2 linked regions of the Alligator mississippiensis genome follow. The protein of the gene in region 1 interacts with the protein of each later gene in a pairwise test. Links are inferred from orthologs where the notes say so. Each region holds a gene or a part of one and is shown in the gene's direction. Other genes may lie near its edges.

What was found. The genes of interacting proteins can lie anywhere in the genome.
Region 2: the proteins of NEIL2 (region 1) and MEOX1 interact in binary tests that used the Homo sapiens proteins (3 or more experiments, as listed by UniProt). The two-hybrid records come from large-scale screens. The link is inferred for Alligator mississippiensis from reciprocal best matches to the Homo sapiens genes NEIL2 and MEOX1.

What each region holds. Positions count from the first base shown.
Region 1 is NC_081824.1:8,147,164-8,154,245, forward strand, and holds the start of NEIL2 (endonuclease 8-like 2), read left to right. Parts: upstream 1-4,079; 5' UTR 4,080-5,289; coding exon 5,290-5,427; intron 5,428-7,082. UniProt on the Homo sapiens protein: Involved in base excision repair of DNA damaged by oxidation or by mutagenic agents. Has DNA glycosylase activity towards 5-hydroxyuracil and other oxidized derivatives of cytosine with a preference for mismatched double-stranded DNA (DNA bubbles).
Region 2 is NC_081827.1:153,166,819-153,173,645, reverse strand, and holds the start of MEOX1 (homeobox protein MOX-1), read left to right. Parts: upstream 1-3,805; 5' UTR 3,806-4,114; coding exon 4,115-4,565; intron 4,566-6,827. UniProt on the Homo sapiens protein: Mesodermal transcription factor that plays a key role in somitogenesis and is specifically required for sclerotome development. Required for maintenance of the sclerotome polarity and formation of the cranio-cervical joints.

The sequences.
Region 1 (7,082 bases):
TGTGAGCCAGAGTGGGGCTGGAAAGGGACATCACACCGAGGAATCCAGAAGTTGGGAGATCTTGGGGCGCTGCCCGAGATACAAAACCGGGGGACTAAACTACAGGAGCCTTTCCTTCAGTCCGTTAGCAGAATGCCACCCCTTCCTCCCATTCAGGGCGCTCAAGCAATGCTCAGAAAGACAAGATGAGGATTTATTATTTGCATTGCTCAATTGGGGCCCTCTTACGTTAAGTCCTGCACAGAGACAGGGTAAAAACCATTCCCCCCTAACGAGCATAATCCTGCAACCTCTCCTGTATAAATTGACTCCTGTGAGTACCCCCGAAAAGCAAAGGGGGTTACTCCCATGTGCAGTTTCGAGATCAGGTCCCAATAAAATCAGACCTCTGTTGTGGGCTGTACAGGGGCACGGGGGGAAGTCTGGCTGAGAATGGGGGGCTAGAAAGGTCATTAACCAATTCTGATTGTTTTTCCTCTTTGTGACAGTGCAATATCTTTAATCGCCGCTACATTTGTTTTCCTGGTGATCAGAAAAGATCTGTATTTAGACAGCAATCTCACTGGCTGATTCGAAACTCTGATCAGGAGGAGTTAAAGGCATTTTGATGGGCGCTTTAATGCTGATCAACAATCCTTAATAGAGCCCTGAAGCTGTGACTGCGTTGTGGGGTTTTTGTTCTGTTTTGCTTTTTATTTTTTTTGTCCTTCTATAAAGTTTGCAGCTTCCCAAACTCATTGGGAAGGTCCCATGGAAAGAGAGGTGCATTTGTTGCGGGGGGGGAAAAAAACCCAAACTGAACAAGCTGTAATTATTTAAAGATGTAAAAAAAACTATATTATAATATGATGTAGTATGGCTACCAATCCACATAACTTCTACACCTTTAGGACTAATGGAAATACAACAATGGTAATAAAAATAATCAAGTTTCCTTCTTTCTTATTTTTTCTTGCACTGAAATAAGTATGTGGTGGATCTGCAGTGATTCTGGTTCATGCGTGGTGCGCTGCCCAGCGTGGCCTGTGGAGGGTTGAGTGGGCCTTCGTGTCACGGACTCGGCATCAGAGGAAGTCAGAAGACCAGGCTGGGGTGAAGGATGCTTGCTGGTAGCAGGGCCGTATATGCTCTTGAATGACTCACATGGATTTGGAATTGATTTGGCTCATTTGACGTGGGACACAAAACATTTTCCTTAAATAAAAATGATCAGACCAAGAAGGAGGCTCTGGCCAGGAGGAACCAGGGTGACTGGGGGCATGGGTGGGTCCTAGGATCACTTCTTCACCCATGTCTCCTAGCAGAGTTTCACTGGGCGGCATCCGCTGGTTCCTTGGACTCGTTCAAGGGGCAGCGGTCGCTGGGCAGTGTGATCTGCTCGGTACCCCACTTTGAGTCAAGTCAAGTCAGTCCTGAGGCTGCTGCAACTGCTGGGACACCTTCGATGCTGTAACAACCCTCCTAGGTTAGTTGAGTTGCTTTTCATCATTGGTGATTCTTCGGGCAGAGCGACCTGGTGGCATCCACCTCTCCAGGGTTGGATGGCTGTTGGCTCGCAGGGAGCTCCTCTGCCCTTTGACAGGTCTTGCTTTTAGCCCTGATGGATGTCCGCCCACCCTCCTCACCTAGGCTAGTCTAGGTGGGGATGCCGGTTTAGTCGCTGACAACCAGACCATTGAACAGGCTGTGCTGGTTTACATGGTACCAGATACCCATCTTTCAACCCTTGTTTTTATCCTTCCAGCCCTGTTTGCTCTGATCTTTTGCTGTTCCCAGAATCTCTTGTTCTGTGTCTGGTGGCCTCCCTAACTCAGGTAGGCATATAGTTTTCTCGGTGGGTCTAGGCCCACCAAACCTAATGTGACGGATAGACGTGTCCCTCACTGTGGCATGGAGCAGATGCTTAGGGGAACTGTATTTACCTAGGGCCTGTCCAGACTGATCTGGATCAGCCCCCTTCATCTCCCAGCATTCGGAGGCCTAGGAAGGCCTCGTTTGGAGGGTTCACCCTAACTAAGGTGTTTTATACCCACGGATGAAGCGTACCCTGGTTGCTTGTTTGTTTGCCTCTCGCACACTGCCCTCCCTCCCCCTTCTCCCTCTCCCCGTCCCTTGCTTTTTATATTCAAATTTCTCTGGATACACTGCTTTTTGCACCTTGCACCTACATGAGAATGTAAGACCTGCCATTTACCGGGTCAGATCATAGATCCGTCTTCCTCAGTCTCCAGTGCCACACAGCGGAAGAGAGAGGAGGGTGAAAGGGAGAGTGAATGGGGTACGACCAGGGTTTTTCCCCCTATTCTTCTCTCACCTGTAGCCTCCAGCATTTAAGGTCTGGGAAGGTCTGACACAGAGGCTGTCCCCTAACTGCTGTGCTCCCATCTGATGAAGAGAGCTTCAGCCCACAAAAGTTTGTGCCATATATATATGTGTGTGTGTGTGTGTATTTACACATACATATGTATATATGTGTATATATATACATGTATATATGTCTATATATGTGTGTGTGTGTGTATTTACACATACATGTGTATATATATACATGTATATATATATATATATATGTGTGTGTGTGTGTGTGTGTGTGTGTATGTATGTATGTATGTATGTATGGACACACACACCAACCAAAGTAGCGAGATATATATATTGCTACTTGGGTTAGTCTACAAGGTTCAAAACCACCTTGCCTTCTAAAGTATTAGCCACCCTGTCCTGTGGCAGTGAATTCCACCAATAATTGCAAGTAAAATGCAAATCAAATTAATTAAATACACAAATCAAATAAGAGCCACCTGCGCGACTGGGATTCTGACGTGCCCTGACTTTGGATGGCTAGACTTTGCACCCTTCACTGTTTTCTTGGCATGCTTTTCCTTAGCATGCTGTTGTTTGAGCTTTGGCTGATTAATGTGAGATAAGTCTCTCTCGAACCAAATAAGAGTATCCACAGGTGGGTTGATGTGCATGCAATGAGTCCCTGGTGCTGGGGTGAGTAGAGGAGGCTGCCTGTGCCCAGGGGTTGCCCTAGAGAAATCCGTGTACTACTGCCAGGCCCAGAGCTCAACCCCTGGCCAAATCTCTGCAGGACGGCGGCTTTCAGGAATGGTAAGGGCAGCAGATGTGCTGCAACTTCAGATCCTGGCTGCCAGCCTCCCTCTCCACCTACCTGTGCCCAGTATGAGGCTGAAGTTGGTTCCTTATTCCCAGTTCCCTATTCCTTATTCCCAGTTCCTTATTCCCAGTTCCCTATTCCTAATCTGACCTTCATTTAGGGCTCTGTACTTGATGTGGAATATTATTTTGCATATTAATTAGTACATATGCAAAGCTAATGAAATTCTCTTTCTTTAGGGTGTGGAATTCATTAATAACAAGTTTTTATTGGGTCTAGATTAGCTTTGAAAAAGGAACCAGGAACGGGGAATAAGGAATAGGGAACTGGGAATGAGGAAATGGGAACAAGGAGCCAACTTCAGCCTCATTGCCCAGTTCAGTCTCCAGGACTGGGGGAACTGGTGGGGTGGGTGTGCCCAGTTTTGGAAGCCCCGCCCCTTGCCCACCTGCTAGCCAATTAGGTTGAGACCCAGCTTTTCCTGGGAAGGAGGCCAAGCTGGGGAAGCAGGTGGAGGGGGCAGCGGTGAGTAGGGGCAGCCTGGAGTGCAGGTTAGGGAGAGAGGGGAGGGCTGGGGGGTAAAGGACTGGCTGGGGTGGGGGGCAGATTGGGGGAAGGGGCTTAGCTGAGTGGGGTAGCAGGGCTGGGAAGGGGAGCAGAGGGCTGGGGAGTCAGAGGCTGGGCTGGGGGGGGAATTGGGCATGCAAGGAGGGGCAGGTGCCCTGGGGATTTGGGGGTCTCTGTCCGTTTTGCATATGCAAATACCCCTCTCCCCTCCTCCCCCAGGGTGCAGCGCCCTGCGCCCTGCTGCAGCTGCACCCACTTCCCAGGGCCGATCGGTTGCTCGACGCTCGATTGCTCCGGGGAGCGGCCGCTCGGTGTTGGACTGAGCAGGCCTGGCCAGGGGGTGCTGCCTGCCAGCTGCAGGGCAGAGGTGCAGGGGTGCAGCAGGGATGCTCCCAGGCCTGGGGGTGCAGGCAGCAGCTACCTCCAGACCCGCTCTCCCCAGGACATGTTGCATTCTCCTGACTCAACACTTCTTGTTTCAAAGGCAGATGATTAGTGTAGAGCAGCATTGTGCTGGGCAGGTTACAGGCAGCCAAGAAGCCAAGGGCTCCAATCCTTGGCCTCGCCGAGCATGAAGGGGATTTAAAAATGGTCCCCAACCTTTCTCTCCCCTGCTTCCCCAGCTCGCACGCAGTGAGGGGCTGGACGTCAGGCCTGCCCAGTCTATGCCCACTCTGCAGACACCTCTAATGTTGAGTGCTGTTGCAATACCACGGTTCGGGGGGTTTCTGTAATGGTGCCTAGTGAGCGGCAGCAATTATTATTGTGATTTAAATGAATGAAAGTCTCCTGGCACCCAGACCCAGCCTGCAAACCTTGATGGGGTTGTCTAAATGAGTGTTCAGAATGACTTAAACACTTGGGAACCTGACTCTCCTTTGGTTTTCAGTCAGATTTAGGCTCCTAAGTCACTTAGGCTCTGTGGAAAGTGCATCCTTCTGCTCCTCCTGAGCGTGGCTAGTTACAGAGCGGTGACCCAGGAGTTAAGGTTTGTGTCCCCTTACTCATTGGAGACAGGCAACCTGTCCAGTTAGCTTCTGGCCCGCCAGAGCTCCAGTGTATCAGGGCTCGGACTAAAGTGTGTTCTTGGAGCCCGGAGATTTCAACCGCCCAGCATGGGATCGCTGATGCACGGTGGGATTTGCATTTTGTTCAAGATCAGTAGAAGCCCCTAGGAGTCAGAGCAGGAAACCAGGCAGCTCGGAGGCCTCTTGCTCACCCACCTCCTCTGTGACTTGGAGCTGCCTGTGGGCATGTCTGGTCCCCAAATTTGCACTGTTTAATGCCAGTGGTTTGAAACTGGTGGAACTAATGTAGTGCAGCCTCCCAAGTGTAGCAGTCATTGCCAGGAACGAGCATCTCTACCCTGATATAACTGCGATCTGTTCTCATGCTGCTGCAGCTGAGTGGCTCTGGCATCATGAAGCAGTTTGATCTGAAACAGGGGCATTGGTACAGTCTGCTGCAGCCAACAGACTGAGCACATGATTTAGGGGGTGCACAGAGATGGGGAGAATCACTGTCTATGTTCCTCAGCAGTAGGGTGACCTGGCTCAAGGCATCTCAGCGGTATCCCTGCTGCTCCCTTGACGGCATCCGAGATGCCGGAAGGCCCGTCCGTGAGGAAGTTCCAGTTGCTGACCTCACCTTTCGTGGGGCAGGTGGTGGCCAAGGCAGGAGGAAGCAGCCGACAGATTAGCCTGAATGAGCTGCAAGGACTGGAGCTCCGGGACTCCCAGGTGAGTCGTGCTGAAAGGCAGCCTTGTCTGTGCATGTCGGCTCCTTGCTCACGCTAGAGTGCTGGCCTGGCCAACACAGAGAGGGTTACCATAAGGCACGGCAGCGAGAGATTAACTTGGCTACAGACAGGCTGAAGGGCTACCTACCCTGGCTACAAGGAAAAATAGAAATGCACCTCTGAGTAGTGACCCCTGGGCACTCGCAGGTGGCTCTCTGTCTGGCTCCACCTGTACTTGTAAAACTGAGCTCCTGAAAAGGTTCAGGTGGAGCAAGACTGTGCATGTGCAATTACCCAGAATGCTTTTGCTTTCCAAATGGTTGGCACTCTGGACAAGTTTAACTCCCCAGTGAAAGTTGAGCCTTTGGCCCATCATCTTCCAAGGCCAAAGCATCCTCAGAGGCTCTTGCAGAGACAAGCAAAATACGAGCTGTGCTGGAAGCTGTTGGCACAGCAGTGATGTGCTTGAGGTCTCTCCCCACCTGACTGCTCAGGAAGAAGGGGCGTCCTCTCCTCCTCACCTCCTTGCTACTGCACAAAAGGGAGGGGAAGTCCTACTGGCTTCGGCATAGTACCTTTATGTCTGCCCTCTTGCCCAGAAGGCAGAAGTTGGGATTAGATTCACCTTTCCTCCCTGCCCTTGCTCAGGGCTGTTTCATATAGGGGCAGCAGGCACCTGCTGCTGTTCTCTGCCCTGCCTGAACTGGAGACGAAGCAGCCGTCCTGCAGAAGCAGTGCCCGGGGCCTGCTGGGGAACATTTCCCTGCATGTGCCACATAGGGCTGGAAGCGGCCCTCTGAGCCCCAGCATCCCTTCCCCCAGCTCTTCCTTGGGATTTCCCAAGGCAGAATGAGAACCAGATGCTGCTGGCCAAAATCACTCAGTAGCCCCCTTTCCAGGATCTGTCTGCAAATGGTGATGCTCGTTCCAACAGTCTTCTGCCAAGCGCAGTGGTTATCAACAGGTGGGTGAGCCCGGGTTGGCTTGGATACAAGCTCCTTCCATCCACTGATGCTGCTGCTTTTCCAGGACCAGCAAGACTGGCTTTGATGAACAACTGCTGCAGCTCCCTCAGCGAGCAATGCACCGGCACTCCCACCTGGTTCTCAAGGATGGGTGATTTCAGAGCCATGTCTGCCCAGAAAGTTGAAGCACCTGGACTGCATTCCCCCGTCCCCAGGCCGTCCTGGTTTATTGTCTTCCTGACTGATCCAGATACTCCCCATCTGAGGAGGTCATTCTCCCTGCTCATCATTTGCAGGCCATGTACTCTCATGGATCCCTCTCCAGCAAGAACACAGACCTACTTTCCACATGACCAAAACCTTCAGCTTGCCACAGACCTCATAGCTGATGGTTCATCTCCGTATTTCTCCTTTCCCTTGTTTATGGGGATTGGAAACCTCTCCAAGAAGATTGTTGACTCGCCTCTTCGGCTCCTTCCAGAGATCCCGGACGTCTTCAGAGACTTGATGAAGAGCTTTCGAAGCCCAAGAGCTTGTTTCTCATTTCTGTCAACTGTATCTGTTGGTTCAGAAAAAGGTTTTGCCTCTCTTCATAACCCTCTGATACCAGTATCTCTGATTTGAACGTACAATTGAGGAACATGCAAGCCTTCAGATATTCTGAGGTTCCTCTGGTTATCTTCATAAATGA
Region 2 (6,827 bases), on another chromosome or scaffold:
GGGACTTGGGCAAGAGAGCTATTGGGTGGGGTGGGGCCGGCCCTGCATGCTGCTGCCACTTGCAGCTGGGGACTGGCCTGGGGGTGCAGGGAGCTATGTGCTGTGGGGCTGGGTGCATAAGGACTCAGGGCACACTCAGCTTCAGGGATTCACACACTCCAGGGACCATGGGCAACTGGTGCCACCTTAGTCAGGGGGGGAACATACCTCCCCAGCGACCAGTCAGTGACTGGAGGGGAGTCCCCTGTGGCCAATCTCACCAACTGGAGGGGGGGGTGTCCCTCGTAGCTGATTGCACTGACCGGGAAATGGCCACAGAGCTCCCAGAAGTGGCTGCGACACTCCCACCTGCTCCCCCTGCCCGTCACCTAAGCAGGGAGTGCAGCCTGTCAGGGGGGGCACCAGCATTCTCAGGGGGTGCACGTGCACCCTGTGCACCCCCTATGTTTCGCCACTGCCAGGGACTCTGAGGACTCCCCCACCCCAACACACGCACACACACGCACCCACACCCTCCCACACACCCCATCCCAACCAGATACCCCCCATCCACCCACTTCCACATCCACCCACCATACCCACACTGTACCACCCACAATATATAAGAGTAAGACTGTATTTTGAGTTATCATGCAATCACCTCAAGATACACTATGCAAACACACAGAAATCAGGACAAGATTAAAAAAAAAAAAATTAAAGTAAGTTATAGTACGTTTGATTCTTTTAGTATATGATTTGGTTTTTTTCCAGCGTCAAGATGGCAAACCTCCACCCCCAAAAGGAGTACTACTGGGACAAGGGGAGGGACTTCTAGCAGCAAAGGTTAGGGGTTAGGGGCCAGGACTTCTGGTTCCCAGCTGGTGACCAGGGGGTGGGGGCACTTGTCAAGGGAAAGGGCTATCCTTGCAGCCCTCGACAGTTCCCCAAAACTCATTAAGCGGCCCCCAGCCAAAATAATTGCGCACTCCTTTATTAGTAGAGTTCGCTTCCTCAGAGAAGGGTTACTTGTTTTCATGTAGCACCACTCGTGTTAAAGGATCTTTACTGAACAACAGAATGACAGGTTCTCTGTCTCTGGAGGGGCAGATAATCTAAATGTAGAAGACACAAGCAACAGAGTGGGGATGGGATAAAATATAGAAGGGAAAAGATGGATTTGTTGTTTTTTAAATCAGTCAGTTTGTTCCAAGCTGTTGGGGTAGAGATAAAATGATAATTTCTTTTGTTACCAGCAGTTCTAACCCACTTTCTTGCTTTAGACAGCATAACCAGAAAATCACCCGCCACTTCCAATAGCAATTAAGCATAGTTTGTATTGTCTGCTTGGTGCATCTCACAGATCTTCAACTATTATTACTAGTATCACAAAGTACAAGGAAGACCCAGTGGAACTCAGGGCCTTGTACCCACAAAAAATAAGAGACAGTCACTACCCTGATGAGTTTACATATAAGACATACAAGGGATGGGAAAAGGATGCATTATTATACCCATGTTACAAGTAGAGAACTGAGGCCCAGGTAGGCTAAGGGCTAAATCCTATTTCACCTTCACTTAAGTGGCATAGCTGGGTTAGTACAACTTTTGGCCTTTATGCACAGAGCAGATTCTATTTGTGCGTTTGTAGTTATTCTTGCCCTGCGCTTCTCTTCTGCAAATGTTTGGTCTTCTGCACTCAGTCCATGTAGGCTCCATGGTAGGATAGAATCACCTGGGCGCACACATAATATTGTGTAAGTCTGAAAATTTTTGTCATGGAAAAGCCACGACTAGCAAATAGTTGATGTTGTAGGTTCTGTACCTAAAGGCTTCCCTTCACCTTACATTTAATATGCATTGGCTAAAATAGCTTTGAGATAGCTTCTGTCCCACTCGGGGCAGAATCCAGGACAATAAACAAGAGACCTTTCCCTTCTAGGGAGGCGTTTCTCTTACCCCTTTGGCTTACTTCACTTCCTCCTGGTGGTCCCAAGTAACTTCCCCTCCTGGAAGCCCAGTGAGACAGCTTCAAGAAGAGAGCTAGTATATTCTGAGTACTGCCTAGTGCATGGTTTTGTGGTTCCAGCACTTGGCTGAGCCATGGGAGAAAAAAGTGCAAACTCACTCTGGCTGGGGAGGGCCTACATCCTGGATCTCCTTCTTCCTGGGCAAGCACCCTAAATGTAGGCTGAAAAGGGGGAGGGGCTGGCCTCCTCTGTTTTACTTTGAGCAGGTACGTGAACAATCCTATTCTACCACAGATGGAAACAGAATCCAAATTGTGCATAAGCATCAAAAACTGTGGTTACAGAGCTATATAGACGCTACTTAGGAATGTAAAGGTGAGATTGGATTTAGCCCTAAGTGACTTGCTCAAAGTCGCACTGGAAATCTGTGGCAGAACTGAAATAAGAACAGTTTCAATCATTCACCACAAGAGCTTACTTCCAATCATGAGGGACTGCAGCATTTTGTGGTCTATCAGGGAGGTGATAAGGACACATAACATGATTTCTTCTTTGCTGAGTGGTATGATAAAGGCAATGTATGCCATCACCTTTCTCACAAGTTCTGTCTCTCGTGATTTGTTTTAGAAGCCAAAATCTTGGCAGGTGGGATCAGCTGAGTCCACTGTCAAAGCTACTTGATCTGTAGCCTGTTGGTGATGTGATTCATTTTGGTATACTTGTCTGGAACAATACGACAAGGAGGGTATTATGTCTTGTCCACTGGGATGCTTGTCTTTCTCTAGAAACATCATTTTACTTTGGGTAACACTATCCCTGGATAGCAAGAGGATCATTATAATTAAATAATGAAGTACCTGTGAGTGTTATATTTCCTAGCAATCACTTGCTTTTTAATCCTGACAATGTAGCAGGGTCCTGAGGAATGTGTGCTGGAGGGGAAGGCAGATAGGAGATGCAAATGTGATGGACATACACTATATTCTGGTGCTGTGTAGATATCAGTACTTTCCTTGAGGCAAGCTACAGAGTGGCTTTGGCACAGCTCATGAGAGCAATATGTTCTGACTATTCCCCACCCACACTTCTTTCTAGGAAAAAGGTGGAGGCAGCTTCCGTGTTAACATCCTTCTGACTACGATTGCTATACAGGCAGAGAATCCATTCAATTAACACAAACTGAATAAAAAAAACAAAGAAAACAAAACAACACTCCCCCCCCCCCTTTGAATAAAAGATGAAAAAAGTCTCTTTACCAGGAAAACAGACTTCTTTTCAGAGAACACAATGAGAGATGCAGCAGGGATTATCCTTTGCCACTGGCAACAAAATCTTCATATCAGCAAATCTGCCTGAAACAGAGTCAACAAAAGTTGTTCATAAAACCTTGGATAAAAAAAAAAAAATCAGGTTTATTTTTTTAACTTATGATTGGCCCTTAAATCAACTGCAATCAGTAAAGTTCTCTCTTCATTTTATTTCCTGTTATAGTCCCTGGAATTTGGCATCTGTTGCATTCTGGATCTGGTTTAGGGCTTTTTCCAAATCCAAGACTTGGGGAATTTTGTTAACAGTGCAATAAAAATAACTTCATAGTGTTACAGGGAAACATTAAAGCCTTTTTGTGTGCTGCTCTTTTCCTTTTAAAAAAAAAATACAGACAATGTTTCTTTAAAAGTCTCCATCTGCAAATCCCATTAGATGTGCATATAAGGTTTCGGATGATTAATAGTTGCCTGCTTTGCTTTGGTTGGAGGGGCTGAGTGTATGCAAGTTAACCCCTCCCTCCTCTCTCTCACATTTCACTTCACAAACTTGTCGCCCACTCCCCAGCACAGTATTTAAAAAGTGTTTCACCCATGTCCAGCATTTCACAGGGAGGCAACTCCAGGCCCTGGGAAACAATTCAGGCCAATTGCAGTATAGAATTGATTAATGTTTTCCAGCTACAACAATGAAGATGTTTAGTGGAGGTCCCAAACTAACAAATTGGCTACCAAGCAAACCCACAAACTAGCTGTATTTTAGCAGGGGTGGGGAAATCCAATTCTGGGGGGTTTTTTTCATAAAAGTTCAAAGTTGTTTTTTCCCTTCTCTCGTGTTCTTGAAGACTGAGACAAACCCAGCTACAGCCTCTGGAGCGTGGACAGATATAGAGCTGGCAAATGGATCCTTCCATGAGCAGCTGCATGCGGAGTCCCCATCCCAATACCCCACTTTGGGGGTGTCTACGGAACGGCACCACGGAGGTCAGCACTGCATCCGGGCTGAATCATTACCCTCAAGCACCTTTCTCATTCCATCAAAAACCAGACTTTGCTACATATTCCGATTTCTCAGCCTCCTGCCTGGCCACTGCGCCCCACAGCTTCCCTCGAGAGGAACGCGGGTTTGCAGAGCAGCATCCTTCCTTCCAGCCTTCCGACTGGCACTTTGCAGCCTCTGAGGCCAGAAGGCGACTAAATCCTGGACTGGCTTTGGGTTCTGGGGAGCTAGAAGGTGGCAGCCCAAACCTGGTGGGTGCTGCAGAGAGTGTGAATGAAGAGTATGGGGTACCAGGCAACAGTACTAATGAAACTGAGAAAAAGGCTTCCAGAAGGAAAAAGGAAAACTCAGGTAAGTGACATATCACTAGGGATGTGGGATAGCAAAATCTCCTCGGCCAGAGCGCCCATTAACTTCCACAGCACAGAAATTAGAAAAAGAAACCCGAGAGACTTATGTTTTAGAATTCCTGTCTAGGGAAAAGGTGTAGCTGGCCATATGGGACACTAACACTGAAACTAAATTGTTTTCTGTTTGATGCTTCCTGGTGTGTTTTTCCAAATCTTGCTGCCAAAACTAGCTACTTCCTCCATCCTCATGATGTAGCCTTTTTGTGTGTGAAAGAATCACATGGTGTTCTGCACATGGAGCTCACAGCCCTCCAACACATAATCTATGGCTCGGCTGCCATTTGTCTCAGCATGAAGTGATGAGAGTCAAAGGGCAAGGCAGCCTGGGATAGTGTCTTGCAAATCTCAACTCTAAACTAGTTAGCAATTACTATTACTAACCTATTAAGAAGTTAGATGAGGGTCAAGGCAATCAAGAGTAGTACAGACTTAGTTAGGAATAAACAGGAGCCAGCTCCCACTCCCTGACTTTTAAAGAGGTAAAATTAGGAAGGCAAATGAAGACTGGCTTGCTAAATGCATTCTTCTACAGTAGCAGGTGCCCTAGCATTTAGTACAGGCTCTCGGGGGTTATTCATTTTGTTCTTTGATGTCTGTGCAGTTAGGTACCAGCATCTGAAGGAAACATTCCAGTTCTACTAACTGTTTGTGAAGGGAATAGCATCTGTATTCACTACAGATCACAGGCTGTCTTCTAGTTCCCTACAGCAGTTGGCAATACTCCTTATTGCAGTGTCATTTTGTCATTAGTTTGTGTAGCCAGATGCATTTAAAGTAGCTTTCAGCTTTCTAACATATGAGGTGTCTACTCTTGTCCCCCGTGTGGTGTCTAATCCCACTCTCTGTGTTGATCTGACTGAGTTTTAATACGCTCAACTCAAATCCAAAATCAAAGCTTCTTTTAGCAACTCACCCGTCAGACAAGTCACCAGCATGCTTTGTCCTCAGCTGCAGAGAGAATGATACATACAGTTGAATTGCACTGTTTTACCTAGGAAAAACAAGTTATTTCCACACCCTAGAATCTCACAGCCAGTTAGCTACTGACTTGCTGTTACCTCACTTGTTCAGCAGTGTTAAATACAGAAATTAAGATAAAGGTGGGGGGGTTTGTAAGGAAGCTGTCAATTGAAGGGTTTTTATGCAGCTTTTCCTAACTATAGGATCTGTACACCTCACAAACTGTGACTGATTTATCTTCAGAGCATGCATATAAGAGACAACTGAAGCACAAAAAATGAAATGTTTTCTCCAAGGTTCCATATGTTATCCATAGCAGAGCTACGAATTCAGTCCAGATCTCCTGAGTCTCTGCCTTGCAATTAAACAAGAGAATATTTTCCCTCTCTCTCTCTCTCTCTGTCTGTCTCTCTCTCTCTCCATGGTTAGCCCTAATAACTGATTATGATTGTCTCCCATTTCTGTTTCCCCCTAGACACTGACAGGCTGTCGGTGCATATCTGAAACATCTAGTAATGCAACCCTTTCTTTGTTCCAGAGTCCAAGTTACTCCCTTTCATGCATTTATGATCTCTTGAAACCCAGGTAGAATTTATGACCATCTACAGCTGCACTCCCTCTCTGTCTCCCTCTTCCACCCAACACCTCCCTCCTCCCTCCCCCCCAAAAAAACCCCTTACAGAAGAATCCTTACAGAACAATGTTATTGTAATGTTGGGGTGATGTTGTAGGTGTCCAGGAAATACGTGAGAGGCATGGATACCCCAGCTACATGTCTGGGTTAGTTTTAGACGAGCTTTCAGATGAGGGCATTCTTGGGTAAAACCATCCCGACCATGCAGTTTGTCCAATGATAGATATCACTCTCCAAAATCTTTGCTCCCCTACAGAACAATACAATTTTAAGTTATTAAGTTCCTAACAATTCATGAGTTGGTGGGAGATCTCACCCCAATCACATTATCAGGGCACAGTTAGCAAATTGAGAATATTCCAAAGCATGTGCCCATGTGTTAAATGGAAAGCAAATGGTCCTTGGCACCTTTTACTTGCTTACTGCTGTGAGCAGCCTTGACACTCTCTTCTCCCACTTGCTGCCTGCACACCTGTCATTACAGGGGAACTATAAACAACCCATACATGATATCACCAAAATACAAATTGATTTCCTGCTTCCCGACCAACTGTTATTTTCATTAGTCTGCTTTCTCTAGTTTAACACTTTGCACAGACTGTGTTCCAA